Linked DNA regions of Ovis aries. The protein of the gene in region 1 interacts with the protein of each later gene in a biochemical or structural test. Links are inferred from orthologs where the notes say so. Each region holds a gene or a part of one and is shown in the gene's direction. Other genes may lie near its edges. The genes, in order: SH3RF1 and AKT2.

What was found.
Region 2: the proteins of SH3RF1 (region 1) and AKT2 form a complex in vitro, tested with the Homo sapiens proteins (2 studies listed by BioGRID and IntAct, with this or other methods). The link is inferred for Ovis aries from reciprocal best matches to the Homo sapiens genes SH3RF1 and AKT2.

Annotation. Positions count from the first base shown.
Region 1 is NC_056055.1:111,872,600-111,887,873, forward strand, and holds part of SH3RF1 (E3 ubiquitin-protein ligase SH3RF1), read left to right. Parts: intron 1-3,196; coding exon 3,197-3,345; intron 3,346-4,304; coding exon 4,305-4,475; intron 4,476-6,707; coding exon 6,708-6,967; intron 6,968-8,224; coding exon 8,225-8,529; intron 8,530-13,152; coding exon 13,153-13,445; intron 13,446-15,274. UniProt on the Homo sapiens protein: Has E3 ubiquitin-protein ligase activity. In the absence of an external substrate, it can catalyze self-ubiquitination. Stimulates ubiquitination of potassium channel KCNJ1, enhancing it's dynamin-dependent and clathrin-independent endocytosis.
Region 2 is NC_056067.1:49,095,733-49,111,622, reverse strand, and holds the start of AKT2 (RAC-beta serine/threonine-protein kinase), read left to right. Parts: upstream 1-7,584; 5' UTR 7,585-8,100; coding exon of another isoform or gene 8,101-8,198; 5' UTR 8,199-15,890. Other genes in the region: C14H19orf47 (uncharacterized protein C19orf47 homolog), read left to right, coding at 2,195-2,332, 3,837-3,989, 5,307-5,377, 7,087-7,584. UniProt on the Homo sapiens protein: Serine/threonine kinase closely related to AKT1 and AKT3. All 3 enzymes, AKT1, AKT2 and AKT3, are collectively known as AKT kinase.

The DNA of each region.
Region 1 (15,274 bases):
GAAAGAGAGGACAGATCATTTACAGCCAGAACCCCAAGCTCCAAGCAGAGCGCTTTCCTGGTCAGCGGCCCGTAGCCCTCACCCATGGTTAAGACCTCGTGGAGCTCAGCGCCTGGGCATCTCAGCACTGGTCACTGGAAGGGGAGAGGGCAGGGGGCGCCAGTGAGGAGGGGCCCACAGCACGGCCTTGGATTCTCCCTCACTGTCCCCTGGCCGAAGTGGCCCATCGCGCAGGAAGGGGAGGGGGGAGGGGGCACCAGCCAAGAGGGGCCCGCAGCACGGCCTTGAACTCTCGCTCACTGTCTCATGGCCTGACGGTAACCTGGAGCCAGCCACCTGGACAGGATGCTTTGCTCTTGGAGGGAAACTGAGGGCGGCCTGCAGGGGCTGAGTGGGGACTGGAGTCTGCACGGCATTTCTGACACTAGCCCTGGGCTGCCTCCTTGTCCCAAGATCAGTGGGTCGGGAACACAGTCTGGATGTGGCGGACCTGACCCTCCCCCATCAGCTGACCCCCGAGCCCTGATTTTAGGGAACATCCTCATGGTGTCCGAACACCAGTGCCGGTAGCAGAGGGTCTGGATCTGCAGAAGTACAAGCAGAACCTCATCTCAGCGACCACGAGGCCACAGCCAATCCCCTGTGTCAGATCTCGGAGGCCCGGCCACAGCCTCAGCCCTTCCGCAGCGCTCAGTGAAAGCAGGCCAGCTGCAGATGGCCCCAGCGAGGGGGAGGCTGTGGCTCCCGCGGGACGGCTCGCAGCAGGCTCCTCCCAGGCATCTCCGTCCCTGGGGCCTTTCAGTGTGGGCTGTTCACCAGCACCCGTGGGGCCTGCTGGCCAGCCCAGCCCTGGCCGTGCCCGGGCCCTGGCATCTGACCAGCCTCACAGGACGGCCACGTCATGGAATCCAGTTAGGATGTCTGCTCTGTGTGCTTACCCTCCAACATACTCACACACACACACGTGCGTGTTCTCCCGAAGACACACAGCCCAGTGCTGGGGTGTGCCAGATGTCGAGCGAGTCTAACTTACGCTTTATAAAATTCATGCACACCAACCATTTCCTTTCTGCACTTACTAACTATGGGAGATGACCTTTTCTTCAGTTCGGTTCAGTCACTCAGTCGCGTCCCACTCTTTGTGACCCCGTGGATTACAGGGGCTTCCCTGTCCTTCACCATCTCCCACAGTTTGCTCAAATTCCTGTCCACTGAGTTGATGATGCCATCCAGCCAGCTCATTGTCTGCCGCCTTCTCAGCCTGCCTTCAGTCTTTCCCACTATCAGGGTCTTTTCCAGTGAGTCAGCTCCTCACATCTGGTGGCCAAAGTATTGGAGCTTCAGCGTCAGTCCTTCCAATGAATATTCAGGGGTTGATTTCCTTGAGGATTGTCTGGTTTGATCTCCTTGCAGTCAAAGGGACTCCCTTCTTCAGCACCACAGTTGGAAAACATCAGTTCGTCTGCACTCAGCTTTCTTTATGGTCCGACTCTCGTGACCTTTTCTTACATTTTGTTAACATAGTGTGGCCTATGTTTTTATCAGGCCTATAGATTTCCTTCTCTTTTTTTGCCTTCTTCTGTCTAGAGCCAGTGAGTACAGGCTCTGCTGACATGAAGGTGCAGGTTCCCTCTCTTGCCTCTGCCAGTGGAATTCTCAGAGCCGAGTGGGCCCTTGACTCTGAGTCCTTCCAGGGGTGGGTGGCCTGAGTTCCTTTGTGACTTGTCACCTGCGCCTCCACAGCCACACAGCTATGAGGTGGGGCCTGGAGAGACACAGAGGAGACGGCTCAGTGGTGACCTCAGGCGCTCCTGTGCCGCTGTGTGCGGCGGCCCAGCGGGCCCACCTGGGTCACGTGCGCCAAGGCTCCTACCGGGGTTAGCTTTGTTTCTCCCACCTTGTCCTGAGACCAGCAGCTCAGGTGCTCAGCCTTTTCCTCGTTAAGGGTCATGAGGGCTCCAGGCCCCGTGTGTGCCCACCTGGAGTCGCAGCGCAGCCTGTTGTGCGACTGTCCAGCTGGCCTTGCCCGCCCTGGGAGCGCTATCAGTGAGTCTGTGCTGCCTGGGCCGCAGCGTGGGGAAAGTCTCCGCTGTGGGAAAATGGAACACAATGTGCTCGACAGTTGCAGTGTGCAGCTGGGAACTTGAGGTTCTTCTCTCCTGCAGTGTTTCTGGAACCGTGTAACTTAACAGGCCGATGAAGTAACTGCTAATGAAGTGTCAGATTTTTTTCCCGGACGACAGAAAGCCATTGGTGTTCTCCGTGTTCAGAAACCATGGGGTTTTTCTTCCGTTATTCTGACATGGAGATACCACATTCCCTGCCCAAGTTGCAGTCTTTAGCCTCCTTATTTCTCCCTTGATGCAGTTTTACATTGAGTGGTTCAGAGATTTGGGGCAGCTGGGCAAGGTGGGGGTTCAGGCGAGTCTGTGTGTGCCTGTTTGCTCAGTATCCAGACCCTAAAGAATGATCTGGGCTGTGTAGATTAGAAAGTAGCAGGCGCTCCATTGATTCTGAAAAGGTGTGGAGTCCTGTGGGCAGAGCCTGTCGAGGGACCGGCAGCTGCTTGCGGGGTACTTGTTAAAGATTACCAGCCTTGATAGTCCTGAGCTTAAAAAGCTGGCAGAGCTGACAAGAAAGGAGTACACAGAAGCAGCCAGCATGGCCCTGCAGTCGTGGCTCACTGTTGTTTGTGGTTTGAGAAGCCCAGATGTCCGAGGAGATTTTCTTCTTGGGCGTGACGTCGAGGTTTTCTTCTGTGGGCATGGTGTACAGTGCAGCTGGACTGTCTGCTACTATGTTGAAGCTTCGGGTTGCAGAAACAGTCACAAATTCATCCCCAGCAAGCCCTGTGCTGTCAGAGCTGCCCCTTGGGAGGCATTTGGATCCTGATCCTAGTTTGTGCTTAGAAGTGCCATTAATCTTGAAATTGCACGCAATCTTGTAATTTTTGTTCTTTCCCTCCTCCCAGTTGTGGTTACTTACCTGTTTGCTAGAAAGGTTTCTGTGGCCCTAAGACCTTGAAGGAGGATAGAGAGGAGTCTTAAAGGAGGCTTGGGTATAGCATGTAGCTGCTGCTCTGTGTAGATGCCACCGATGTCTTTTTTTTTAATGGGTTTCTGATTCCTTTTCCCTTCCACTTACTGGAAGAGATGTAAATAAGTCATCTGTTCCTTCTTTTTCTTTCTCTCTCCAGACTCTGAATCCTCCTCTCCCCCCGCCCCCTCTCCAGGCGGCCACCCCCACGGGCACTGCTGTAGCTGCTGCTGCCGGGCTGGGCCCCAGGCCCACAGCTGGACCCACGGACCAGACCACACACCCGCGGCCACAGCCCCGCCCCAGCGTGTAAGTGTGGGGGTCCTTTCTGCCCCTGGACCGAACCCAAGTAGAGAGGCAGAGAACAGCTTTCTGGGGGGAGCTGGTGCCAGACTGGTGCCACTGTGTTTGTGATTAGGAAGCTCGTACTCTAAGGCTGGGCCTTCTTGGCCTTCCTCCGCGAGTGCTACCCGGGCTTCGTTCCCACCTTCATCCCCAAGTAAGGGAGCGAGGGGACAGGGAGGCCCCGCGCAGGTCAGACCTAGAGGAGGTGCGGCGGTGCCTGCAGTGAGCGTCCAGAGTCAGGTTACTCCATTCATTCTGCTCGTGGCTCAGTGCAGCCTGCGGGCGGAGGCCCCTCCGTGCACACTGACCCAGGAAACACTTGGTGCCTGCTCACGTTGCCGCCACTCTCCTTGTGTCGGTGGCTGTCACCTGTGCAGATGGGCTGTTGGGCTCTGTCCGTGATCTGGACTTGCTTTGCCTCTGACTCGCAAGTTCAGCGTCTACCCCAACTGAGCCCACGGATGCAGGTGCCGCCCGTTGCTGGTTCAGTGTGCGCGGAGAGGCTGTGTGCCAAGCTTCCCGGCGGGATTTTGGACCACATGTCCTCAACAAGGCTGCTTCCCAGGTCTCACCAGGGCCATCTGCAGGCCCAGTTTCCCAGCGGGCATCTGATGCCCTGCTGCAGGTGTGCATGCCGGGGGCTGGCATCAATTCCTCCACACCCACGAGTACCGTTTGGCGGGATCATCACCTTTGCACCAGGAGGGCCAGGTGGGAGGTTCTGAGTCAGGCGGCTTCTGCCTTTTCAGAGTGGATGGCTGCCGTTCAGTGGACAGTGATCGAGGCTGCCCACAGATTAAAGGATTCTACTTTCTGGTTTTTTTTGTACAAAACATTCAAGGCTTCGTGCCACAGAAGAGTCCTGCACATCGTGGGGTACGTCTGTTACTCACCTTGAAGTCCGATGTTTTTTCCTCTTCTAGGTATGTCGCCATTTATCCTTACACTCCCCGGAAAGAGGATGAGCTGGAGCTGAGGAAGGGAGAGATGTTTCTCGTGTTCGAGCGCTGCCAGGACGGCTGGTTCAAGGGGACGTCCATGCACACCAGCAAGATTGGGGTTTTTCCTGGCAATTACGTGGCCCCCGTCACGAGGTATGGCTCTGAGCAAGTGGCTTGCTGAGCCCTGAACACAGAAGCTTTGTCCTTTCCCATGATTTCCAGCCTATCCACAGTTCCTTCTCATGTTACAGTTCTGTGTTACACAGCCGGCATTGTAGAGGTCCCTGCCTGTATTTGCCAAAGTCCCTTCTAATCCTCAAGATTTTAGCTTACTCTTCACGTGTGAAATTGTAAGTTTCTTCCAATACAGGTGCCGGTTTTAAATTATTTGCTTTTAAGTCACATGTGAGAAGACTCTACTACACTGTTTTCAGTATTTTTCTGCTAGGAAATTAGTGCTGTTTAATATAAGCACAAGTGATGTTATTAATCCTCTTGGTTATGTGATGCTTACCTGACACCTGGCACTCAGAGTTCTCTGTTCTGCACGTTAATGCCAGGTCCTCAAACAGCTCCCTGGTGTATGTGCTGTTATGAACCCCACTCAACAGGTGAGCAGGTTGAGGTGGAGAGGTTAACCAATTTGAGGTCACCCAGTGAGGAGGTGCTGAAAGCCAGGTGTGTATTCCCATAGCTTGGGGATTATGTCTGAATTCTCAAAATTGCTTTTTATAATGCAATCAGAACTGAAACTCCTTTAACATGACGTGAGTCCCTCACCCTTCTCAGGGGAGGGCGGTTTTGCTCCCCAGGGGATTTTTGCAGTGTCTGGACATGCTTCTGATGGTCACGATGGGGGAGCAGGTGCTACTCGCCGCCAGTGTATAGAAACCAGGGATGCATACAGCACCCTGCAGGGCACGGCACAGCCTTCACAGAAGGGAGCTGTCTGGCCCCAAGTGTCACCGAGGCTGAGAAACCTGTTCTAGGATAGTAGGAGGCAAGCACTTGGGATGTGTTGATATGCACTGTTCACTGTATTTAAATATAGTCCCCGTTCTGGGCACTGAGGAAGCTTGCCCTGGAATGATCGTGATGACCTATGATGGGGTCAGTGCTGAGAAAACCCCGGGTTTTGGCCAGTGGGCTCTTAATAAACGGTCCAACCTATTTGTGTTAAATCATTTCTCAAAGCCCCTGATTTTGAATAAGTGGCTGAACGAACTGACATGCTGTCAGATGTCGGTCGCAATCCTCAGGCTGGCTGGCAGCCTAATCCAATGAAGATCACTGTCATTGCAGATGGCAACAGAACACTAGCTCCAATTAGACTTGCAGATTTTTCATCAGTGTGAACGTTCTTGTTGGTATATGCTAAAATCCACATTCACAGCCCAGAAGACGGTAGCTCTGTCTTCCCTGGGGGGATAAAACAAACAAACAAAAACCACAATAACTAAGGGAGATAAACCAAGCAACAACCACATGTCGACTTTCTGAAGAAAACATTTTCCTAAGACTCAAATACAAACTATCAAAAGTCTCTGGAGAGACGCTTCCTGATGGAAAATTCTCTGATATTCCTCATGGTAAATAATGAGGTTTGAGTTAATGAAGCCTTCTGCTTGGTAGAAAGTTTCTATCTATAGAACTGTCGTTTAAATGAATTTAGAATATTAAAAAGTACGTTACATAAAGCCGCACTGAACCGAATGGAGTGAAATTCAGCCGGTAAATACTTGTTGCGGGCCAGCTGTGCTGCTGTGACTGCGCACGCAGGAAGGGTGGGAAGCAACCGCTGCACGTGGCCCTGCTGTCAGGAAACCTGTACTGAGTCAGGAGCATTTCACTGGGAATTGACTGATAGGACTCCACATCGTGTTTTGTAATCAAGGGTCATAGAGGAAATCCACCTGAAACAGAGGAGAGTCGCGAGGTCCCGGGCCTAAGGCCAGGCTGCTTGGGATGACAGAATTGAAACGCAGGTGAGGGGGAGGCAGGGTGGAGGGAGCCCGAGGGACGTGACAAGTATGTGCGTGCACTCGCGCGTGTACACGGGCAGGTACAGAGAAGGCGCACGTGAGCCCAGCTGTGACAGCCTAGATGTCGCTCTGACAGGCCGAGAGGAAGCCCGGGCGAGAGTTACCCCCGGAGGGGAGCCGAGCCGAGGAGCCATGTCACCAGCAGAGTGCTGTGCGACCTCTCCCCTCAGAAGAGGCTTCCGGAGCTTTCTCTGCCTCGGGGCCGCTGTTCCTTGAGTGCGTTGCTCTTACCTTTGCTCCGATAACCGCGTTCTACAGGGTTACGTCTTGAGGCTCTGCACCATTTTCTTTGGCGTTGGTCGTCCTCTCTCCCTCTTGCTGACGGACTGGGTTTCTGTCTCAGCAGGGCCGTGACCAGCGCTTCCCAAGGCAAAGTCCCCATGCTGACGACTGGCCCAGCAAGTCGCGGAGGGGTCCCGGCCAACCCTCCCCCTGCAGGCGGGCCTGCCCAGAAGCCCCCGGGGAACGGCGTGGCTGGCGGTCCCGGGGTCCCCACAGCCGTGGTGTCGGCAGCTCACGTCCAGACGAGCCCCCAGGCTAAGGTCCTGCTGCATGTGTCCGGACAGATGACTGTCAACCAGGCCCGGAGCGCTGCAAGGACAGGTGGGCGCTGGGCCGAGGCCCTGGGAGAGGGGCCTGAGCAGCCTCAGACCTTGTACACCAGAGGCTGTGAGGATGTGAAGACAGTCTGAGGATGGTGGAACTTTAAGACAGTCTGAGAGAGCAAGATGGAACTTTTAAGACAGTCTGACAGAGCAAGGTGGGACTTTAAGATAGTTTGAGAGAGCAAGGTGGAACTTTAAGACAGTCTGACAGAGCAAGGCATCACGGACTCAATGGACCTGAGTCTGAGTGAACTCCGGGAGATGGTGATGGACAGGGAGGCCTGGCGTGCTGTGATTCATGGGTCACAAAGGGTCGGACACGACTGAGCGATTGAACTGAACTGAACTGAACTGACAGAACAAGGTGGAACCTTAAGAGAGTCTGAGAGAACAAGGTGGAACTTTAGGACAGTCTGAGAGAGCAAGGTGGAACTTTAGGACAGTCTGACAGAGGAAGGTGGCACTTTAGGACAGTCTGAGAGAGCAAGGTGGAACTTCAAGGCAATCTGCTGAGGGAGGTGGAAGAAGACACTGAATAACAGGAAGAGGGGCCAGCACAGTCTCAGCACCATCACTTTACATCGGCTTCATCTGGCTTCGCCTGCCCAGCTTGTGAGTCCAAGCCTGGTCTCCAGACCACGGGTCTGAAAGAAACTGTTACCAGGCGGGTCCTGAGAATGTCGATAGTCCTTGAAAATGTGACTTCTGTGGTCGAGACCAGCCATCTGGGGTCCCACTGCTGCGGAGGCGCAGCCCGCAGACTGCCGTCCGGGTGCTGGGATGAGCTTAGTCACTGCTCTGTTTCAGACACAGTCAGACCTTAAGTAGCTTTCTTCTTCCTGAAGCGTTTAAAACCTCCCAGGGGTCTTGGTTAACAGTGGTAGAGAAAACATGTTCAGCTCTATCCGGAAATCCAGAGCAGGAAGGCAGGTTCCGAGAAGAGGGAGAATAGGAAGCGGCACTGGGGCCAGGCTGCTCTGCCCAGCTGGGCGCGTGGGGGTGGCGCCTCGGCCAGAGCCCGGGGGGCTCCTGCACCCCTGGTGCTGTGGCCGTGCTGTCACTCGGCAGGCGTGGCAGCAGACCCTGTGTCACGGGACCGAGCGGGGCGCTGCCTGGGATCAGGGAGGGATGATGTCCAGGGGCCCCTCGAGGGTCAGAGTGTCTAAACTGCCACGGTTTCTCATCACTGACACGCGCAGGGCTCAGTGAGCAGCGAGGCTCCACTCATGCTTTCCTCCTCTCTTCCCTTGTCCAGTCTCAGCGCACAGCCAGGAGCGTCCCACAGCAGCCGTGACACCCATCCAGGTTCAGAGCACCCCGGGGCAGTCCCACCACCCCCTGGCGTCGCCACAGCCCCCTGCCCCACTGGGCCCCCCTGCCCACGCGGCTGCCAGTGGCCTGGGCCGGGTCGGAGGCCCCCTGGCCTGCACCACAGCCCCAGCGAGCATCCCTGCTGCCTCCCTGGAGCCCGAGCCCAGCGGCCGCCCTCTGACCCTGCTCCCAGGGACACCCACCTCTCCTGACAGCGGCTCGGCAGCCAGGCCAGACAAGGACGGCAAGGTGAGCCCCAGCAGCTGCTGACCCACTTGGGGTGCGGGGAGGTGGGGTTCCATTCAGCTCTGGGGCTTGTCCCCTAGCCGCTCACTCCCCTACCCCCTCGCTGCCCTGAACTCCTCCCGGTGAGTGAGCTTTGCTTCTAGTTAACTGTTCTGCAGAAATGCACTTAGGATATGAAGGAGCTGGAACTGTAGATCCAAAGTGTTGCTGGTGGATTCATTGCTCCTGCACTGTGTTTGACTATAATTTGTGTGGATGTGGATAGTTTTTCTCTTGACTTGAGATATAGGGGGAAATTAATTTCTAATTTGATATTTTTTATTAAAAAAAAAAAAAGATCCTTTGGGCCTGAATTTCAAAGAAATTGTAAGTGGGAAGCTATGTTTGAAAGACTGACCTGTGGCTGGGTTGTAGACAGAGGCGTGTGTGGTGGTGAAACGTGCACAGAAAGAGCAGCCTGCAGCAGACTCTGGTGATCGTGCTGCAGGCGTGACTTCCACTCCGTGCTCACGCGTGCCCCCCCCCGGACCGCTTGCCGGCTCTGGGCAGCTGTGGGGTCACACCTGCTTTCACAGTCATGTACGTCGCTCTTTAAATGACCAGGGAGCCTGTGAGCAGGGCTTTATAAGGAAATAAATGTAGCCTACTAAGAAGTTAATATTTAATTGTTGAGTTAACATGAGTGCTTTTGCAAAAGATCAGTATCAGTTCAATGTTTATGATTAACTACATTAAACTTGTACTGAAGCTCATGCGGTCCACCCTGCCAGGATCTTCAGAAAGTAAACTTACTTTACAGCTTAGATCTGAAGGTTCCAGGATAAGGCATCAGGGGCCATTGTCTCAGAGCATCAGGCTCTGGAGCCCAGGCCTCCGAAGGAAGGATTCATGCAATCTGCAGGAAGCCTGTGCTAGGGAGAATAACAGCCCCCATGTCCTGATCCCTGAAATTTGAGAATACATTTCCTTACGTTGCAGCAGGGGTCTTACAGATGTGATTCAATTAAAGGTTTAAAGATGAGTGGATTAGCTGAGTGAGCCCAATATAATAAGCAAAGGGATCTCCTTAAGGGGGAGGAAGGAAGAGGGAGGAAGGAAGATCAGGGCCAGAGGGAGATGACACCAGAAGCAGAGAGCAGTGACCTGTTTGCCCCGCTCAGTCCCCCTCCTGACAAGTGGCCACTGGCCCCTGCTAGGATGCCCTGTGGTCCCTGTGTCCTGTTGCGGAGCGTCAACACTGTCTTCGGGCAGCTCGAACTCCTGGAAAGCTCAGTCAGCACACACCTGTCTCCCTGTGACTTCAGACCCTCTCGCTGTGCTTTGAGGGACTGCATAGAAAATGATGGTCTCCTTTCTATGTGATCCCTGCAGGGAGTTCAGGGTTATCATCTTTTCTTAAAGGCTTCACTCTTGAGGGCTTTCCCCCCCATATTCTTCATGTCACAGGTTTCTAATTTCCCTTTCTAAATCTGCCACCTCATTTAATGTTCCCAGTTCATTAAAGAGGTTGTCCCTAATGGCTGTAAACTCAGTGACCCATGATTAGTGCAAGGAGCATCACTTCACCCCCATCACTCTGTCCTCTTGCCAGGACACGCAGAGAGAGCTTGGCGGATGCCTGGATGAGATCCAGCTGTCTCTCATTCTCCCATCCAGTCCCCCAGTCGCCTCACCATTTCTGCTGTAACCTGTGAGCCCGCATCTCGTGTAGGAGACTTCCTTGGTCTCACTTCCTTTTCTGAGTCAGCCTTTCGTCAGATACCCTGTTTTAGGATTTCCCAGGTGGTCTGCAAGCACTGTTGTGGTCATCTGTGAAAATGAGCACCACACAAGCCTTTCTTTGGCATGTTGAGTCGACCTTGGTCCCAGGTTCACCAGGATCTGTCAGAGATCAGTTGTGTTCCAGCTGTTAATTTCCTCAGTCCGCCGGGGTGGATCAGCCTGTTGGGAGGAGTGGTTTCATCTCTGAATCCCAGTTGCTCCCCCGTTTCCCTCCTACCAAGGTTTGTTCTTCCTGTCTAGTCTGGAAGGGACTCTTCATGCGTCTGAGGACCACCATCCACCCCAGGCACCAGATCCATGTCTTTCTTGTTCCCAACAAAACTTTAAAGCAGCACACACCCTACCCCCACTTTTTTTGGTCATTCGCATTTTTGTAAGTTTAAGTTCATTCTGGCCTTCAGCATCTTGACTTGCCACAGCCGTGGTATGTTCTTCTTGGGGGCCCTTCTCCTGATCTTTTTGTGGAGGCCTTTCTGTCACTTCCTGGGGCATCATCATCACTTCCTGGGGCATCATCATCACTTCCTGGGGCATCATCATCACTTCCTGGGGCATCATCATCACTTCCTGGGGCATCACACAAGTGCCTTCATCACTGGGAGCTTCTGCACCTTCACCTGCTGGAGTGATTTACAGTGTGTGCTTGGAGCTTCTTTCTGGAGAGCCCACCCACTGCTCTTGAAGCTTCAGGATTTCCTTCTGAATTTCAGGCCATGCATATATTTTCTTGTAACTTTTAAGATCAATTCTCACTAATTATTAGAGAAGTACAAATCAAAACTACAGTGAGGTATCAATATCACTTCACACTGGTCAGAATGGCCATCATCAAAAAGTCTACAAATGAGAAGGCTGGAGTGGCTGTGAAGAAAAGGGAACGCTTGTACCCTGTTATGGGAATGTAAATATGATGACTAGTGCAGAGAACAGTGTGGAGGATCCTTAAAAACTGAAAAATAGAGTAACCGTGTGACCCAGCAGTCCCATTTCTGGGCATATACCCAGAGGAAACCATAATTCAGAAAGATACGTGCACCCCATTGTTCACAGCAGCACTGTTTACAGCAGCCAAGATGTGGAAACAGCCTAAGTATCCGTCAGCATAGGAGTGGGCCAAGGAGGTGTGGGACATGTACACAGTCATAAGGAAGAGCAAAATAATGCCGTTTGCAGCAACATGGATGGACCCAGAGATTGTTACACTGCGTGAAGTACGGCGGACACAGAGAGACAAATACCATATAATATTGCTCATGTGTGGGATATAAAAAGAAAAAGGGCACAAGCAAACTTATTTACAAAACAGAGTAGAGTCGCAGATGTAGGAAACAAACATGGTTAACAGGAGGTAAGAGAGGGAGAGGCAGATTGGGATTGATATACGCACACTACTGTATAAATGGATGACTAACAAGGGCCGAATGTGTAGCTCGGGGACCTCTGCTCGGTGTTCTGTAATGACCTTTACGGGGAGAATCCCTGCCCTGCAGGTTAGCAGTGCTGTGGGCCACGCTAGGTAAATGGGGCCCGTGGTGCAGACCGCCTGGGATGGTTGATCGTCTGATCAATGCTTACCTTTATTTCCGTCGGCCAGACTGTCTCTCACTGAGCTCTGCTGTTACGGATCCCCCCACCCCCCGCCACCGCGCCCAAAGGATATTTGACTGAGTGGGAACTAAGTCAGTATTCAGGAAGAATTCCTCGGTGTTCTCTCTCCTTGAGGGCTGCTTATAGTTCTCCTTCCCTGTTAGTGGATCTTACTAGTCCCAGTTTGCCTAGGAAGCATTCTAAAGGGTTATTTCTCTCAACTGTTGTATTTTCGGACTGTGTTTTCAGTCAGAGGACTTGATGACCCAGTTGACACATTAGTAAAGCAATTTAAAATGATGGCTGTTATTACTTTGGGCATCAGAAGAATATTGACACTTGGGGTCTGGGCACAGAGAAGAGCCAGCCCTGGATCTGGGTTCCTAGCAGAGCAAGACCACAAGGAAAAGACCCCAGGAGACCAAGACCCATGAGGTGGCTTCTATGGCGTGAGGCTGATGGGAGTAATTCTCATTTAGACACTTGCTTGCAAAAAGAGACGCAAAATGTTTTCATTATACTGATGGGCTTTTTTTTCTTAATTTTGTAGTTGTTTTTGGTAAAGAATCTGCCTGAAATATAGGAGATGTAGATTTGATCCCTGGTGGGGAATATCCCCTGGAGAAGGTAATGGCAACCCACTCCAGTATTCTTGCTTGGAGAATCCCATGGACAGAGGATCCTGGCTATAGTCCATGGGGCCGTAAAGAGTTGGACACGACTTTGTTTTTTTAATTAAAGAAGTATTTGCACAACAGATATGGTTTGACTTCTGTTATTATCGGTTTGTTAAATTTCATCAACAGTGATGAGTGAAAATGACTTAGCCCTTCACCCTGATCAAGACATCATCCCCTATAAGGGATAAGCTGCAGGTCTATTAGTTGAGTATAGAACAGGCAGAATTTCAGGAAATTAAAGCTATTGTCTGAAATTTCCATTTTGTCCTAAAGTGTCTACTTTGCCTTCACCAAGCCTGGGAAGTGAATTGGTGGGATTTTGGTTTCCCATCCTTTTTATCTGCTCATCCCACCTCCATGGAGGTTGGTGATGAGCACTTGAGTGTCCAGAACCAGGGAAGATGCGCAGGTGGGTGGGGGTTGTGCGGAGAGGGGAAGGGCATTGAGCGCACAGCCCCAGGAGCCAGACCAGGAGTCCCAGACACCCTCAGGGGTCCCTTGGAAAGCTCAAATCTGAACTTGAAACTCTACCAGCAGAACCATGTCTCCAACCCATGCACTTTTTTTTTTTTCTTAGAAAGAGAAAAAGGGGCTGTTGAAGCTGCTGTCCGGGGCCTCCACCAAGCGCAAGCCGCGGGGATCACCGCCGGCCTCACCCACGCTGGATGCTGAGCTGGGGGCCGAGCTGTCCTGCGGGCCCCCGGGGCCCCCCTGCGCCTGCCCCGGGCCCTGCGATGGGGACGCCGTGGCCCCCGGCCCCCAGCGCAGGTCCTGCTCCCTGGACTCGGCCCCAGTGGCGCCACCCCCCCGGCAACCCTGCTCGTCCCTGGGCCCCACAGCCAGTGAGGTGCGGCCCGCCGTGTGCGAGAGGTGGGTTCTTGTCATTGGCGCTGGGAGCTGCCAGGTCTGTGGCACCCGCGGCATCTCCGGCTCCTTCCTGGGGTCTGCGGTGACAGCCGGCGCTGGCTCCTGTGCCCCTTGGGTGACGCGCTCCATCTCTGCGGTCCCCTCTACATCCTCACCCCTTTCCATCATGTCTCCAGAGCTCTCCTCTATGGGGCAGTGCTCACGGCAGCCCTGGTCCCTGCCTTCTCCTGGCTCCTCGTTCACGGCCAGCCAGCCACCCTCATTTCATCTTCAGCCCTTTTTATCGAAGGTTTATGAACACCACTGCCTGCTAGTTGTAGGGCACCTGGAGTGTTCCGTCCCCCGAGTTCTCTTCAGCTTCTTCCTGAGCCAGAGTGTGGCAGGGTTCTCCTGGCCCGACCCCTGCTGACCCGCTGACGGGGCTCCGTTACCCGCAGAACAGTGAGCCCCGTTCAGTGACTGTGGCCTCGAGTCACCTTTACAAATGGGAGCTGTCCTGTCTGTTTCGCTGCTGGGGCTCTTGGAGCATGTTAGGAAAGAAAATCTACTTAATAAAACAGAAACCTGCTAGGAAAAAAATAAAGCTGATCCAAGAGCAAAAAAAAACAAAAACAAAAACTTGCTTGGATGATATGAATTAAAAGCGCAGCATGGTCTGCTGCCTGGAAGATGGCCTGAAGCACTCTGAAACTAGAGGACTGTTTTCCCGTAACCTCAGCATGAGTATGTAAGCATTTCCTGGAGGAGGTGCCATCTGTCTCTGCAGGCTCGAGTCCCCGTGTCCCTGCGTCTGACACAGAGCATGTTTCTCATCTGTGGAAGTGTCGCCTTTGGGGCAGTATTTTCTGTTAATGATTCAGGATCTTGCTGTAAAGAGTTATACTTTACAATGAAGTAAATCCACCTGAACTCTGAATTTCAGATGAAATACCCACTGAAACCTGAGGCCTGCACTCAGACAGTTTGGGGGGCTTACTTTATTATCCAGAAGTAACTCGGGAAAGAATTAATCAAACAATCTATGTGCCTTAAATACAAAGTACACCATTCGCTGTGTACTTTTATGGGGGCATGAGATAATTGTGTGTAGCTCTGACCCTTCTAAAACCAGTTTTGAAATGAGACATTACCCTAAAGTGTTTCTGCCTCACCCATGAAACCATTCTGTCTTTCCCCTCATCCACTGGACTCTCAGTAAAGCTTTGAGGTTTTGCCCCAAGTTCACGTCCCCCTTCATTCCAAGAGTCTTGCCTTTTCCTGCGGTGTCTCTTGGCTCTCCAGGGAGGGTGCCTCTGCTCCTGGACCCAGTCCAGTGACTCATTTACTCTCTCTGGGCCACAGAGGCAGTCTTGGCCCCCGATGCTGAGTGCAGGTCCCTCTGTGAGCTGAGCCTGCTCGCTCTCCTGTCATTGGTGGGGTTCCTGTGTCTGCCTGGGGGGCTGCTTCACTGTACCAGAGCCCCCCACCCCCGCCCCGCCAGGCTCTGGCCAGCGCCGCCACCTCTCCCTGACCCTGCCCCCAGCACTGGCTCTTTCCAGAGGCCAGGTGTGCCAGTCTCCAAGCTTTTGCACCCCAGCCTTGCTCACAGAGGGGCTCCTTGCTTACAGAAGGCTCCCACAGTCTAGAGCATCTCAACAGGAGGGGCCGCAGGCAGCTGCCCCTCCAGACAAGGAGCAGGCGGGTTTACACGTGGGCAGGGCACGCTGGGATCCTCTGCCTGGTATTTTGTGGAAGCATTTCCATTTTTACAAGTGGGAAAGTGGTCTTTGGAGAGAATTTCTGCCCCGCGTTTATATTTTTATAATCCACGTGCTCAGTGGAATATCGAGTCT
Region 2 (15,890 bases), on another chromosome or scaffold:
TTGTTTACTATGTGAGCTGTGGCAGGATAGCAGAGCGTTGCCTTGTTTGACCTCAGTTGGGAACGTGCATTAGGCAACTCAGGATTTTTGCCTCTCTGTGCCTGTCTATAAATGACCACAGAACCCCACAAGTATTGGTTTTGAGGTTGTGAATAAATTTGTAAATATGCCAGTTTATAAATACAGAATCTGAATGATAAGAATCAACTATATTTATACTTCTGATTTTTTAGCAGTGTGACACTTGAAAAATTTGACATACATGCATACGTACATATTGATTAGCCTTTGCTGCTTAACAGGCTTCCCCCAAACAGATATAAACACACATTAAAAAAAAATTTTTGATTTCAAAGTAGTTGATTTCTTTTCAGAGTAAGAGGTCACCTTTTGCAAAATTTATTTTATTTTCAACACTTGCACATTTTAGTACTTCAAATCATACTTGTGCACTTACTGATAATGAGGAACTGATCTTCTGACCCAAGGTTTTTAAAAAATTTTTGTTGAAATATACTTGATTTACAGTGTTGTGTTAGTTTCAGGTGTGCAGCAAAGTAATTCATTTAAGTAACACACACAGGCACACACACACACACCCACCCACCCTTAGTTCCCTGACAAGGGATCAAACCCATGACCCCTACAGTGGAAGCCACTCTTAACCACTGGACCGCTGGGAAAGTCCTGGTTTATGGAAATTGATGTTAAATGGACTGTGTAGCTTTGATGTATTTTTCTGTACACTGTAGTTATAGTTAAAAACAACCAAGCAATAGGAAATTATAATCTTGTGTTGAGGGTCATCATGAAGGATTTCAGGAGGCTTTGAGAGGTAGCACACTGCAGGAAGAGAGAGCTTTTGCGGTGGGGGGGGGGGAGGGGGTAGGACAAAGTAGCAAAGTCTGAAAGCCACTATGGGGGGTGTTCCTAGGCCTGCGGAGCAAGGAGTGGCAGCATGAAGAGCCCCCTGCCCCGTCCCCTGCAGGGCTCCCCCAGGAGTTCAGGAAACCCACCCCCGAAGCTAGCAGCAACTGTTCCTGGCCCTCCTGTCTGCTCTCTGTAGCCCATCTTGCAACCTGGGACACCCCTTCTCCTTCTCCACAGGAGACCGGGTACCTGAGACTGCTCCCCACCTCCAAGGGAGGTCACCTCTTTTCTTGTCCCAGCCCAGCTGAAGGCACACCTACATTGCCCAGGGCCCCTGCTGGGTGACCCTCCTCCCTGAGTGCCCCCAATTTCCTCATCTTTAAAGTTCGTTTGCAGCAGAGCCTGTCTGCTAGGGGTGTTGGGAGGTTCGGTGACCCTGTTCATCTTTTCAGTAGATGTTTATTACTGAAGACCTGTGAAGTGCTGAGGACAGAGCAACAAACAGTATCTCCTCTTGAGGCTTGCAGTCTCTTGGACGAGTCTGCCAGTAGACAGATAAATGTACTTGAATGTCCAGCAGTAGTGGGCTTCCCTGGTGGCTCAGCCGGTAAAGAACCCACCTGCAATGCAGGAGTCACAGGAGACGTGGGTTCAATCCCTGGGAAGCCCTGGAGGAAGGGCAAGAAGATCCCCTGGAGGAGGAGATGGCTTCCCGCTCCAGTGTTCTTGCCTGGAGAATCCCATGGACTGAGGAGCCTGGTGGGCTACAGTCCGTAGCATCGCATAGAGTCGGACACGACTGAAGTGACTGAGCATGCACGCGTATCCAGCAGTAATACGGACTATGAAGAAAAAGAATAGTGTAGGGTAGAAGTGGGAGTGGTTGAGGGGGCAGTCGGGAGTTTTCTCTGAGGAGGCTGAGTCTGAGAGGAGACCTGAATGAAGAGAGAGAGCAGGCCCATTGGTACTGGGGGAGCTGTGAGCCAGCCAGACAGCAGATAGACAGATAGTAGGCACCCCAAGGTGTGTGCTTTCTGGAGGAGGAAGGTCCTGGAGGAAAGCAAGGCTGTGGGGGAGGGAGAGGGAAGGACTCAGCACAGGGCTGGGTGACCGGTGGATGAAGGGTGCTTGGAACCATCTGGTCTGGGCCTCAGGAAAGCCCCCCCTGGGCCAGGAGGGCTGGACTAGTCCCTGGAAGACAGGCCCTCCCCAGGCCTCCCTGTCTTGACAGTACAGCCCATTCAGTCCCAAGGTGGCCCTCCCTATCCTGCCCCCTTCCCGGGGCCCTGTCTCACTGGACTCTCCTCTTTCCTCTTCCTGCCAGCCGCCTCCCGAATGATCACCAACAGCCTGAACCGAGACTCCCCACCTGGCACTCCCCCCAGGCGGCCGGACACCAGCACCTCCAAGATCTCTGTCACCGTGTCCAACAAGATGGCGGCAAAGAGTGCCAAGGCTGCCGGTGAGGGGATGTGGGCAGGGGGTGGGAGGAGCTGGAGGCCGCTGCGGGTTGGCAGACGGCATCTGGGGGACGTGTTCTTGACGCTGCTGTGCAGGCCATGGGGTGTGCACAGTGTTCAGACTCGGTCAGGTCACGGCCTCTCTGGGGGCCTCGCCTTCCACGTCTGTCGAAGAGGGCTGGCGCTACCCTCCTCCGCGGACGGTTGGAAGCCCTTGAGATGGTGTCTGTGAGCATCGTGGACCCGTTGCAGTTCTCATGCAGGGGCCAGTTCAGTCTGTGTAATTTTTATTTTATTGTGGTGAGAACACAACGTGAGATCTGCCTACTTCATGAAACTTTACGTGTGCAGAACAGTGTTGTTGACTGTGGGTGGTTCAGTCTTTTTTAACAGATGGTCACTGAGCCCCGCACTGGTGCCCGGCCCTGTGCTTGATGCCTGGGGTCAAAGGTAAAGAAGCTACCTTTCCTCTTAGCCACCAGAGGGATTCTTTAAAACTTTCCATCTGATCCTTTTCCACCCTTGTCTAGAACTCTCCAGGGCTTCCTATTGTTCCATTAGTAAAGTCATCTTCCCACATGGCCTTGCTGGGCCCTGTGGATTCATGTCTTGCCTGCTGCCTCCATTCCCCTCCAGGGTCCTTCCCATCATGGGGCCTTTGCCCCAATATTCCCTTCTCCCAGGGTCCTCTTCCTGTGTAGACTCTTCTATGCTTGGCCGCTGCTCTTCCTGGTCTCAGCTTGTGAGCTGGGAGTGGGGCACGGCCTTTGGGCTTCCAAGCCCGCCTTCTGTCCGTCACATGCTTCTGCCTTTGTTGAGTCCACCCCCACAGCCCAGTGGTCTTGGCCCACATGGAAAGCAAGGCCCAGGATGGCGCCCAGCCCCGTCACGCCCCGTCCACCTCCATGACAGGTGCTCCCTTTGGGCCACATGTGTCTGGAAGCGCCTCCTCCTCCTCCTCCTGATTGTTCAGTTTGTGGGACATGAGCGAGAAAGTTAAGATTCATTCCTAAAGTAGTGAAAAGATGCGGGGCCTGGGATGGATGGTTCCTTTCCCTTCAGCACAGTAGAGGAGATTCTGTTTATTTTTGTGAGTTGTAATTTACTTTTGCACAAGGCACACATTGTAAGTACATAGCTTGAATGATTTTTAACAAATGATCATACCTGTGAAGCCATTACCTCGATGGCCTGTCCACCACCCAGCAGTTTCCCATCTGAGAGTATTCTGGCTGGCCTGGGAGGCGAGCCTACTGGGGGGTGGGTCAGAGCCACAGAGAGCCCGGGAGGCCAGCCATAGCCTTCTGCAACCCCACTGGGCCCAGGCCCCTGACTTTCTTGGCGGATCAGTCAATGCCCATAGGGGAGGTTGGGAAGAGAAGGGATTCTGGTCATGGGAACGCATGGAGATAAAGGGCACGTGAGTGCCCTTTGCAGGGCGTCCAGCCCCCCACCCCGAGTGGACATTCCCTTTCAGAAGATGCTCACCACCACCCCCTCCCCCAGCAGCCCTGGCCCGCCGAGAGGAGGAGAGCCTGAGTGTTCCCACCAAGCGGCGCCGGGTCACCGCCGAGATGGAGGGGAAGTACATTATCAACATGCCCAAAGGCACTACCCCGCGGACCCGGAAGATCCTGGAGCAGCAACAGGCAGCAAAAGGTACTGGCCTGGGGAGGGGCAGAGACTGTGTTTCCCTTTTGCTGCGTCTTGCAGGGTTGGTCACGTTCTACAGGTGTTGGCCCCGAAGCAGGCTCTGATGGGGATCCAGGGGGCTTTGGACCCAGGGACAGCAATGGTGGCCATAGTAGAGAGGGGCGCATCACCACCTCTGCCTTCTTGTCCTGCAGTTAGCATAGCAGGGATCCTCGGTGCCTCAGTGGGCGTCTCTCCCTCGGCGGACGGTGGCACGGATCCAGTGCTGGTCTGCCTGCTAAGTCCGTGACCGGGCCTGGCTGAGGACAGTGCCCCAAACAGTAGGAACCATCGTGGTGAGCCAGCGGGGTCAGGTTGAGATTCAGGCCAGAGCTAGCGTTTATCCGGCGGTATGAGGATGCTCTTCTTTAAGTGTTCCTTTTGTGCTCAGTTGTGTCTGACTCCTTGCGACCCCATGGACTGTGGCCCACCAGGCTCCTCTGTCCCTGAAATTTTCCAGGCAAGATACTGGAGCTGATTGCCATTTCCTTCTCCAGCGGATCTTCCTGACCCAGGAATCGAACCCTCGTGTCTTCTGTCTCCTGCATTGGCAGGTGGATTTTTAACTCCTGCTGAAGCCCTGCATTCTGTCAGAACATTGTGTATATTCTCATGGAAAAATATTCAGTGGATGCAGAGGCAGTGAAAACAAACTTGTATCCCACGTGTACTGCGAACCTTTCCAGACATCTGTCTGTGTGTTTACATGCATCTCAGCTTTTTTTTCTTTTTAAGCACAAATAGTCTCATCCTGCAGGTATTGTTGTATAAGGTTTTATTGAGCTCTTTTCACGTTAGTGCACATGGATCTGCTTCATTCTTCTTGATGGCTGTTCAGTGTTTCCATAATACTTCTGTATCGTAATCTAGTAAACATTCTTCTGTTGATGGCTCTTCAAACTGTTATTTAGGGAGGGTATTACCATTTATCCGATTCTCTTAGAGGCCCAAGGCCCCCAAAAGAGGGAAAGGAAGCAGTAGGGATTGAGAACTCTTCCTGCACATACACTTCTTGAATTGGTACCAAGAAGTGAGGAGAAGTGTCCATTTTAATTGATCCTCTCACATTTGACGTTGACCAGAAGTGTGGGGGTTAAGGTCAGTGTTAGCGGACAGCACAGACATAAAACCTGACTCCGTCCAGTGTGCGCCTGCTTGGACCAGAGCTTCCTGGGGTCTGGGCGGGCCGTGATGACCCCTCCCTGTCTGTTCAGTGCTCAGCCCGGCTTAGGCCTGCAGGGGCCACCCCCCAGGCATAGGCTAACAACCTCACTTCCCTCCCAGGTCTCCACAGGACATCTGTGTTTGACCGCCTCGGCGCTGAGACCAAGGCAGATACCACAACGGGGAATAAAGTGAGTGGGAAGTGGGGGAGCCCCTGGGGACTCTCAAAGCTTGGTCTTCCCTGAGTGTCATTCCTGGCGCTTCCTGCACACCCCTCACCCGGTCTCATGTACCTTTCAAGTCCGGCTCCCTGTCTGTCTGCTACCCCGATCTCTCTCCCGATTTATAGCCCCAGGGCTCTGGCGGACCCCTGGACAGTGTCCTGGGACCCCGCCCACCAGCATGTCCCCTAACTGGCCTCGAATCTTCCTCCAAAGCACGTCCTCCTCCTGTCTTGGGGGCTCCATCTGTCTCCTGTCTGCAGCCTCGTCCTGTTGGGATGGGCAGTGGCCTCCTAGCTGGTGTCTGTGCAGCTCCAGGGAAAGCCCTCCAGCCCCTCCCTCACAGCAGCAGTGCCTACGACCCACAGGACAGGCCCCTTCTGCCCTCCTCGCCCACTGTAAACCCTTAGAGGCTTTTCACCAGCCCAGGAGGTAGCCTGATCTTCTTGCCTCCACTTGCGGTCCCGCAGGCTCCAGGCGTGGCATGTGGTTAGGAGATGCAGCCTGAGCCTGTTGCCTGGCATGAATCCTGCTCTGCCATTGCCTGGCTTCATGGCCTCGACCATTTCACCTCAGTTTCCTCCTCTGTATAGTCCCTGCCTCACAGGGTAGTCGTGAGGACTCATGAGGTATACATGTGTGGTGGGGTCTGTCTGGTGCCTGGTCGGCATCTTTTTTTTTTTCGGCCGCGCTGAGCAGCACATGGAAGTTTCCCTACCAGGGCTTGAACCAACGCCCTCAGCAGTGGAAGCACAGTCTTAACTGCTGGACCGCCAGGGAAGTCCCTGGTGAGCGTCTTGAAATGGCGCCTCAGATTCAGGCTGGTCAAGTTTGCCAGCTGCCTTTCCTTGCTTGCTCACCGGGGCTCACCCACTCTGGCTTTTTTCTCATTTCCTAAATCTTATCATGAGCGTGATTGTAATGCTCAGGATAACCTGGCTTAAAGATGGGGCCGTGGAAAGAGCTGGGCAAGTACCCCATAAATATGACTCTTACTCATGCCTGGGGGACTTTGAGGGTGCACTTTACTCTGCTTAAACAGCAAAGCCTCAGAGAAAGTGTCCCTGAACTCAGCGAAGAGACGAGGCTTCGCTGTCCACAGCTCTCCACTGCCCCCGCCCCATGCCCACCCTCCCAAGCACACAGTGCTGTCATTACTGGAGAATTACTTGTGTGAGGTCCGATGCCGGCTCTGTCTTCCCTGCTGGACCGTAAGCCCCCTGTGAGTGGGGCAGGGGCCCGTCTTGGTCAGCACTGAGTCCCCAGCACTGCCCAATACAGGCCAGATATTGAGCTGGAACTCAGATTATTTGTGGAGTGATTGACCAAATTCGCCTCTTCTCTGTGGGTCCTCTATAGACCTTAGCAGACAGTTTTTCCTTTCACCTCCCCTCTCCCTCCTGCTCTTTATTTGACTCACATCCACTCAGCTCTCAGGTCTCATCCTAGAGGTCCCTTCTCCAGGGTGCCTTCCCCTAACTTTGGCAGGGAGTGGTCTCCTCTGGGCTCCCCCGGTTCCCTGGACTTGCCCTTTCCTGGCTCTCACTACTATCGAGTGTGTCAGCGAGGGGTGCGCTTCCCAAGTGCGAGCCCCACGAGGCCAGGCACGGATGAGGCAGCTCTGTGATTACAGGGCGAGTGGCTCGGTGGCTCACCTGTCCTGTCTGTGACCCCCACAGCCCACCGGAGTCTTCAGCCGCCTGGGGGCCACGCCCGAGACGGACGAGGATCTGGCTTGGGACAGCGACAACGACAGCAGCAGCAGCTCCGTCCTGCAGTACGCTGGGGTCCTGAAGAGGCTGGGCCGCACCCCCGCCAAGGCCAGCCCGCAGCCTGCGCTGACTGTCAAGGCCAAGGCGACGAGCTCGGCGCCGGCCGCTGCCGCCCCCACGCTGCGGCGCCTGGCCCTCTCCTCGCGCCCGGCGCCCGAGAGGAAGCCGGAGGCCCTGTCCAAAGTCAGCATCATCCAGAGACTGGGCAAGCCCGCCCTCGTGCCTGAGGCTCAGGACAGCCAGGTCACCAGCACCAAGAGTAAGTCCTCAGCTGAGGTCAAGGTCACCATTAAGAGGACTCTGGTGGGGCCCCGGGGGAGCAGCTCCAGCGAGGGCCTGGGTGCCCAGATGGACCACGCGGGCACCGTGAGCGTATTCAAAAGACTGGGCCGGAGGACCTTCTAGCCCATGGGCGGGGCGCAGGCCCCTCTCCTGACTCCCGGCTCCATCAGTCTTCAGCGAGGGCACGTCACCCCTCCCTGCTGGCTTCCGGACGACTTGTCGCCCCCTCAGGTGTTCCCGCTGGCCTGAGCTTTCCGGGGAGCCACCTGGGTGTTCTGAATCTGAGAGGGTCACCGTGGCCTGGCCTTGCCGCTCTGGGGCTTCCCTTCCTTCCCGTCCTCTGCTCTTGCCTCTTGACTGTGGCCTTGGCAGGACCCCCTCTTTACCTCTCCCGATGCCAAGGACCCTTCTCCTCCCCTCCATGCCCTTTCTCTCTCCCAGCAGCATCTGCTGCCTCAAACCCACATTCTGGGGCCTCCCTGTCCCCCAGAGAGGGTGCACCCGAAGGGGCTTCTGTGTCCCCCACCCCGGGACTTCCTTGCCCGCCTGCCTCTGCCCCACCCACTGCTTTGCCCTCCCCTACTCTCTCCCGATCTTCACTCTGTTCATTTCTTTTCTGTTTTCTGTCCCCGTGGCAAGGCCCGACTGTCCGCTGCGTCCTGCCTGACCCTCCTGCACCTCCGGCCTCCCAGCGGCGCCCTCGTCGGCGGTGGCGTCGAGCCAGTAGAGACTGTTAGCCGCCCTCACTCCCAGGCTGGAGGGACCTCCCCAGACCCCGGGCTGTAGCCAGGGCACCCGCCCGGGCCTCTTTTCTCCCTGAAAGTCTGGCGGGCGGCGGGTAAGGGGCACGGAGGTGGGAAGCCAACACCGAGAGAAGAAAACAGCTATTTTAATATATTTTTGTGACTTTCAGACTGTTTCCCTCCCCTCCTTCAGGGTGAGTTGCAGGATTGCTTTTTACATGCAGCACAGAGTGGGTGGGGCACCTGTGGAGAGCTGGGCAGCTCCCTGCACACCTGTAGGCCGTGATTTTGCTGCCAGCTCTGAGGTGAAGGGAGTAAGTCCCTGTCGTCATCCACTTGGGCCACCTCCTCCTGCTCTGGGCTCCCGCAGGGCCTCTGTCTGTCTGCCCTCCTCGTCATAGGTTTCCCCCATTTCTGCCAGGTTGCCTGTGAGGGGTTTTCCAGATTGCAGCTCCATTGTGAGGCTGTGGGCTCCTGTGGACTGGGTTCTTCACCCTCTCACTGCTGTGTGGTACTTGTGTCTGCCAGGCCCGTTCTAAGGGCTGGGGTCTATCTGTGAGCCAAGCAGGCCCGTCCCTGTCTGCATGGCTGCCCTCACCAGCCAGGGAGACAAGCGGAAAGTGATCACACTGCTCAGAGTTGGAAGGAAGGCTGAGCGCCCGTGATCAGGGTCTCTCTAGATGTTTGGGGCAAGAAGGCCTTTCAGAGGAGGTGACCTGTAGGGTGGTTTACATGAAGTTCAGGAGGAGAGTGCTCAACCAGGGCAAACAGGCAAGGCCAAGGCCCTGAAGTGGGACGAGGGGACACGGAGGAGACCAGCGTGGCTGGTGACTGAGTGAGTGAGTGCCGGGCCTAAGGAATTTGAACCCCTTCCTGAGAGCGTTGAGTTTGGGAGGGTTTGAGGCTAACAAGTGGTGATCTGAGTTGCCTTGTATGAAGGTTGCTGGGGCCACTGTGAGTTGTCGGGCGGGTGGGATGGAGGCAGGGAGGCAGCCTGAGGGGAAGTGGTGGGAGGGGGAGGAGAGGCAGGGGTGGACTTTGGGGGTGCCTCAAGAGGGGCAGCAGGATTCTCCCTGCAGATGGGCTGGAATTTGGGAAAAGACAAGGGGCTGGGTCATGCCTGGATGGGGGACTTGAGCATCCAGAGGAGCGTGCTGTTTTGTAGCACTAGGTGGGGTGGGAGGGCGCTCAGGTTTCACCGGGTTGACTGAGAGGTGAGCAGTCTGCGGGGAAGGCTCGGCACAGGCATGTTCACAGCCGCGGGCCTGGTGATACCAGCCGGAGAAGAGCCTAGAGAGAGGAGGGGACCCAGAAGGGAGTGGGGGTGCTTTTCCCACCTCGAGAATAGTCTCTGATAAGGAGATTACCAAGGAGTGGTCAGGGAGTTAGGAGAAGAGCTGAGAGCAGGTAAAGGTGAGGTTAGACGGCATCCTTTTTTTTTTTCCCATTGGTTTTTTTTTTCCATTTTTTTCCATTTTCCATTTCAACACAACACTGACCATTTGAACTGTTCTTAACGTGTCCTCTTCAGTGGCACTAAGCATATTCATACTGTTGTATAACCGTCATCCATCTTCAGACCTGTTTTTGTCTTCATAAATGATCATCCGTTTATTTTTAGTTAGTCGGTGCCGTCATGCTGGGAGGCTGCTGCACGTCAGGCAGGGTCCCACGCGCTGGGCCTGCGGTGTGCGGGCCAGACTTCAGTATGAGGGGCAGTGATAGAGCAGCCATAGACCCCATCTCGTGGTGAGGGCCCAGGCCAAACCCTCGTGGGGCTGGTTGAGGTTGCTGACCTCAGAAGGACAGCAAATGATAGTGGTGTCAAGATCCCAGAGGCCGCCCATTTGTGTCAGGGCCACAAGGAGGCGCTCACACACAGAGACACTTTCCTTGCGGTTGGTTCTTCACTTCTTTTTTTCTTTAAAAACCCTCCTAGTGATTTCCTTGAGTTCCACTTCATGGATAACTTCAGCAACTGCCAGGGTTGCCTGGCAGGGTTCCAGTTACTAAATTTAAGAGCACAGGGTATTTCTGAATGCATAATAGGAACTAAAATGATATAAAAACGTGTCACTTATCATGACAAGCTTACCTGCTGTGAGGTAAGTCGAGTCACTGTTGCTCCTGACAGAGGTGCGAAGGGGGACAGACAGCTGGCGGGTGGCAGCGCTGGGTGTGACGTTGGGAGGTGAGCGGGCGCCTCGCCCCTCAGCCCCTGCCTGTGGTGCCTCAGCTGCAGATCGGAACCAGGGCCCCCCTTTATAAAGGGGAGGGCAGGGTCCTGGGAGAGTGGTTTCAGGTGTCCTTGAGTTGCTTGTGTGTACACACTGCCCCGTTACTTACCCCAGGGAGCACTTGCAGCTCCGGAAGGCTGTGGGCTTTGAGGGTCATGCCCACCCTGCCACCGCCTGCCTGACAGGGTGGAGCCGGACCCCTCAGCCTCCCAGCCACTCCAGCGTCCCACCCATTTGCTTCGGTGATCCTCCCAAGCCGGCCCCAACAGCTGTGGCCCACAGGGGTGTGTTATTTTTTCCTCTGGTTCTCTGAAACTTTTTCGAGTATAAGTATTGGGTTGGCCAAAAAGTTCATTTGGCTTTTCCATAAACATCTCACAGAAAAACCTGAATGAAATTTTTGGCTAACCCAAAAGAATACATATATCTAGTGTACAGTGCCAAGATACAAAGGCTTCGCAGTGAAAAGTCTCTTCCCAAGCCCCCTCCTCAGAGGCCACCAGTGTTACCATTATCTTGGATCACCCTTCCAGAGATGTGCCTGTCTGTGTGTGTACACACACACACATGTGCATGCATACATATAGCCAGAGGGACACAGTACACACAGATGTGCACACACATGTTAATGGCCTGGCTTACTCAACCAGTCCTTTAGGCAAGGGAATTCGGGTTGTTTCCAGTCCTTGTTATTATAGGAGTGCTGCTGTGGGGAAAGGTGGGTTTGGTTCAGGGGTGAATTGGAAGAACTCCAATGACACCACTTCAGTGCAAACACTGATGCTGGGTCAACAGCGCATCCCAGTAAGGTTCTCCTGCAAAGTCTTGGCACTCTTCAGATGATTTACTTACACATGTATCACCCCATTCCAGAAAGGAATTAAGAGCCGTTAGGCTCGTCTAATTGGAGGCCACTGGAGCAAGGGGATCGGGATGTGAAGAGGTAATGCAGACCACCACCCAGGTGCCAGGAAGTACAAAGTATGTGCTTTGCTAAGTTAATTAGGCTTAAGAGGTCTTTGCACATGTGGAGCCTGCCTGTTTATGCTGCTTCTGGGAACCCTGTAGCCACCCCTGTGGAGATGAGCCTGGGCTAGGCAGCTTCATAATGAGAGACACGTGGCGTGGCCAAAACACAAAGTAATTTTAGTATAGAACCCCAATATTTAAAACATGTTTAAAACAGAAAAGCAGTCATTTATTAGCATACATTTATCAGATTATTTTGCATTAATTCATGCAAACAACACAAAATTCAAAGGTACAAAAGGATGTATACAATAAGACTCTTGTGCCCAGTGGGCTGGCAAAAAGATTAAAGTCGCAAGTGTTGGGGAAGATGTGGGATAGTAGTAGTGCGTAGACTGCTGTTGGAATGTAAGTTGGCATCAGCATTTTGGAAAACAGTTTGATATGTTGTAGCGTAATTGAAGATGACATATTCGCCAATCTACCAGTTACCATTCTGGAGAAATTCACACATGCATCCAGGGCAAGTATCAGAATGTTCCTAAGATCACTGTTGTAGTAGCATAAACTTAGAAACCACCCAGATATGCATCAGCTGGAGAATAGGCAGATTGTAGCATATTCTAGTTACCTAATGCATAGTGGATCACCTCAAAACTTAGTGGCTTAAATCAGTAATCATTTCCTGTGGTTCTGGGGGGTTGACTATGCTCAATTAGACTGTTGTTACTTGGGGCTCTCATGTGCTTGGTATAAGATCTTGGCTGGGGCCAGTGTCCCCTTGAAATTCTTCAGTTGTCTGGTGGTTAGCCATTACTGGTACTGAGGGAAAATCTCAGCGTGGGCTGTCAGCCAGGATGCCTGCATGTGGCTCCTCCATGTGACCTGGGCTTTGTTACAACATGGCAGCTGGATTCAAAGTGCACTCTTCTCAAGAGTCAGGGAAAAGTGTATTGCCTTTTCTAACCTAGCATTGGAAGTCACCTTGCTTCACTTCTGCCACAGTCACTAGCCTGCCCAGATTCAAGAGGGACCACAGGCTGTGGCTGTCAAGACAGGAAAGGCAGTGTCTCATTGTAAGAAGAGGGATGAGAGATCATCTTGAAAAATTACACGTCAATCCTGGATGTACTATGTATTGAGTGTGGATATTATACTTCGATGAAAACTAAAGTTGTGCGTATCAATATGAATAAAGCAAAACATTGAGTGGTGAAAGCAAACTACAGAAGAATATGTGTAGTTTAAAGATATGCGAAATAGGGAGTTCACTGGTGGCCTAGTGGTTAGGATTCTAGGCTCTCACTGCTATGGCCTGGGTTCAGTCCCTGGTCAAGGAACTGAGATCCCACAAGCTGCACAGCCAACACCAACCAAAAAAGCAAAATAATGTGTATTGGTTACAGATACTTAAGAGTGTAGTAAATGTAGGCAATGCATGGGGATGATAAATTCCAAGTGAAGGATAGTAGACCCGTTCTGGGGTGGGATGGATTGTGATTGGAGGGGTGTGCATAGGGTCCAGCAGTATGGTAGTGGTTTTAAAGCTGTGGGCACCCAGGTGCCCATTGTGTTAATACTCTCTGGGTACCTGAGAGCAATTAAAAAATAACAATTCTCTCTCTTACTCTAGATCCCTCAGCCATCCAGTTTTCCTCTCCAGAAGCCATCAGTATTACTGGGGTCTTATGTGTCCTTCCAGAAACATTTCATTTACAAACATAACTATATTTTTTTCCCACTCAGATGGTAGCATATATGATAGTTTTATACTTTGCTTTTTTTTATTATTAATGCTTTATATCCTGGAGACCATTGCAATCAGTACATAAAGAACTTAAAAAAACATTTTATTGAGATATAATTTACATATGAGACAATTCACCCATTTAAAGCGCGTATTTCAGTGACTCTTGTTCATAGAACTGTGTGTCCATCACCATAATTTTGGGTTTCTCAGGTGACTCAGTGGTAAAGAATTCGCCTGCCAGTGCAGGAGATGTAGGAGGTGTGGGTTCCACCCCTGGGTTGGGAAGATCCCCTGGAGAAGGGAACGGCAACCCACTCTAGTATTCTTGCCTGGAGAATCCCATGGACAGAGAAGCCTGGGGGACTACAGTCATAGCGTCCCAAAGAATCAGATGCGACTGAGCACGCGCACACACACCATAATTTTAGAGTATTTTCATTATCCTGGAAAGAAACACCCACACTCCTTAAGCATCAGTCCCCAAGTCCTACCATGCTCTGCCCCCTCCGCCGCTGCTCCAAGCCCTTGGCAACTGCTAATTGGCTGTCCACAGAGACTTGCCGCTTGGGGGTACTTTATAGAAATGGGTTCATGCAATATGTGGCTTTTTGTGTCTGATTTCTCTCCCTTAGCATGTCTTCAGGGTTTATCCACATTGCAGTACTTCGTTTCTTTTTACTGATGAAGTTTATCACGTTGTATGGGTGTAACACATTTTGTTTGTCCGTTGATGGTGGTTTCTACCTTTTGGCTATTACGAATGATGCTGCTGTGAGCATTTATGTGCAAATTTTGTGTAGACGTATGTTTTCAATTCTTTTCGGTATATACCTAGGAGTAGAATTGTTGGATCATAAGTTAATTCTATTTTTAACCATTTTAGGAATTGCCGGACTGTTTAAAGTGGCTGTACCATTTTACTTTCCTACTAGTAGTGTGTGAGAGTTCTAATTTCTCTGTGTTCTTGCCAACACTTTAGTATCTGTGTTCTCGATTATTGCCGTTCTGTGTGTGTGCGTGCTAAGTCGCCTCAGTCATGTCTGATTCTTTGCAACCCCATGGACTGTAGCCTGCCAGGCTCTTCTGTCCTTGGGATTCTCCAGGCAAGAATACTGGAGTGGGTTGCCATGCCCACCTCCAGGGGATCGTCTGACTCAGGGATCGAACTCGTGTCTCCTGTGGCTCCTCATTGCCATCCTAGTGGGTATCAAATGATATCTTATTACTGTGGTTTTTGATTTGCACTTCCCTGATGGCTAATGATTTAAACATGTTTTAATGTCCTTACTGGAAAGAGGCTTCCTTTTAAACTAACTGCATAGCATCCCCTTGTGTGGATGAACCTTTGAAACCAATCCCTTATCATGAACATTTGGGTGGTTTCCGAGTCTTTTTCTATCACAAACAGCACCTCTTACGCACACCACGGTTTGCTCATACGTGAACATATCCAGAAGATAAATATCTAGGTGCTAAATTGCAAGGGCAAAGGGAATGCACCTATGTTTTATAAGTTTGAATTTATGCCATTTGTGTATTTAAAAGTAAATATTAAATATCATCAGATTTGTTTGAGGAATACTCTTAATTTCTCAATTTCTCCTCCCGTGTTACCAGCTAACAGATTTAGGCACATCAGAACAAGCAGCCATTTTATTTCCCTGTTTTACTTCAGCTAAACCTTGCGTAATTCAAGGCTGACTTTTACATAGATTTGAATGTCAGGTTGAGGCAGAGGCCCATGAACACATAAACCTACGTTCGTTGTCCCAAGGTTTTCCCCCAGAGCTGCCTTTCCTGCTCCCTCATGTTTATTTCAGTGCTTGTTCCTGAATCGCCAGCATAGCATATCCTGGCAGTCGCTGGGTGGCCATCTTGTTTGTTTTTTTACTTTTCAGCTACACTGAGGGGCCTGTGGGATTTTAGTTCATCGAACAGCGGTTGAACCAGCACCCCCTGCATTGGAGGCCCAAAATCTTAACCACTGGACCACCAGGGAGGTCCCCTTGTTTGGCCTTCTTTATGGTCTGTTATGATTAGAGCTTGAGCTGTTTTGATTAACAGCAACCGTATGATCTTGGGCAAGTTACTCAACCTCTCTGAGCTCGAGTTTCCTCTTCACTAAGGTGAGAGTAATGGCAGCATCTTATTGTGAGGACCAAATGAGTCAGTTCTTGTGAAGGGCTCAAACAGTGCCTGGCATGGCGTGGTTTTCTCATCTGTCTCTGAAACTGATGATTTTCTGCATCAGCCTTAGCACCACCACCGAAAGAACCCCTTAATGACATTATCATTGACTACAAAAAAGAGCTTTAGGAGTTACTCTTATTTTAATTCTAAATTTATAACAAAGTAGCAGGAATAGAACAAGTACTTCCTATATTCTCTTCAGCCAGATTTGCCAACTGTTTGCTCCATTCTCTCTTCTCCCCGACACCACACACACACACACACACACACACACACTGTGGTTTTGAACAATTTGAGAGTTCACTTGAACATCATGTCCCTTTACCTGACAATACTTCAGTGTGTATTTCCTAAGAACAAGAACATTTTCTTTCATAATCACAGTACAACTATCGAAACCAAGAAATTTAACAAGGATACAGTGCTCTTCTTATCTGAACCCTAGTTCATATTCTGGTTTCATCAACCGTCCCTGTAATGTTCGTTATTGCCATGTTTTTTCCTTGGCTCAGAATCCAGTTCCAATCACGTGTTGCGTTT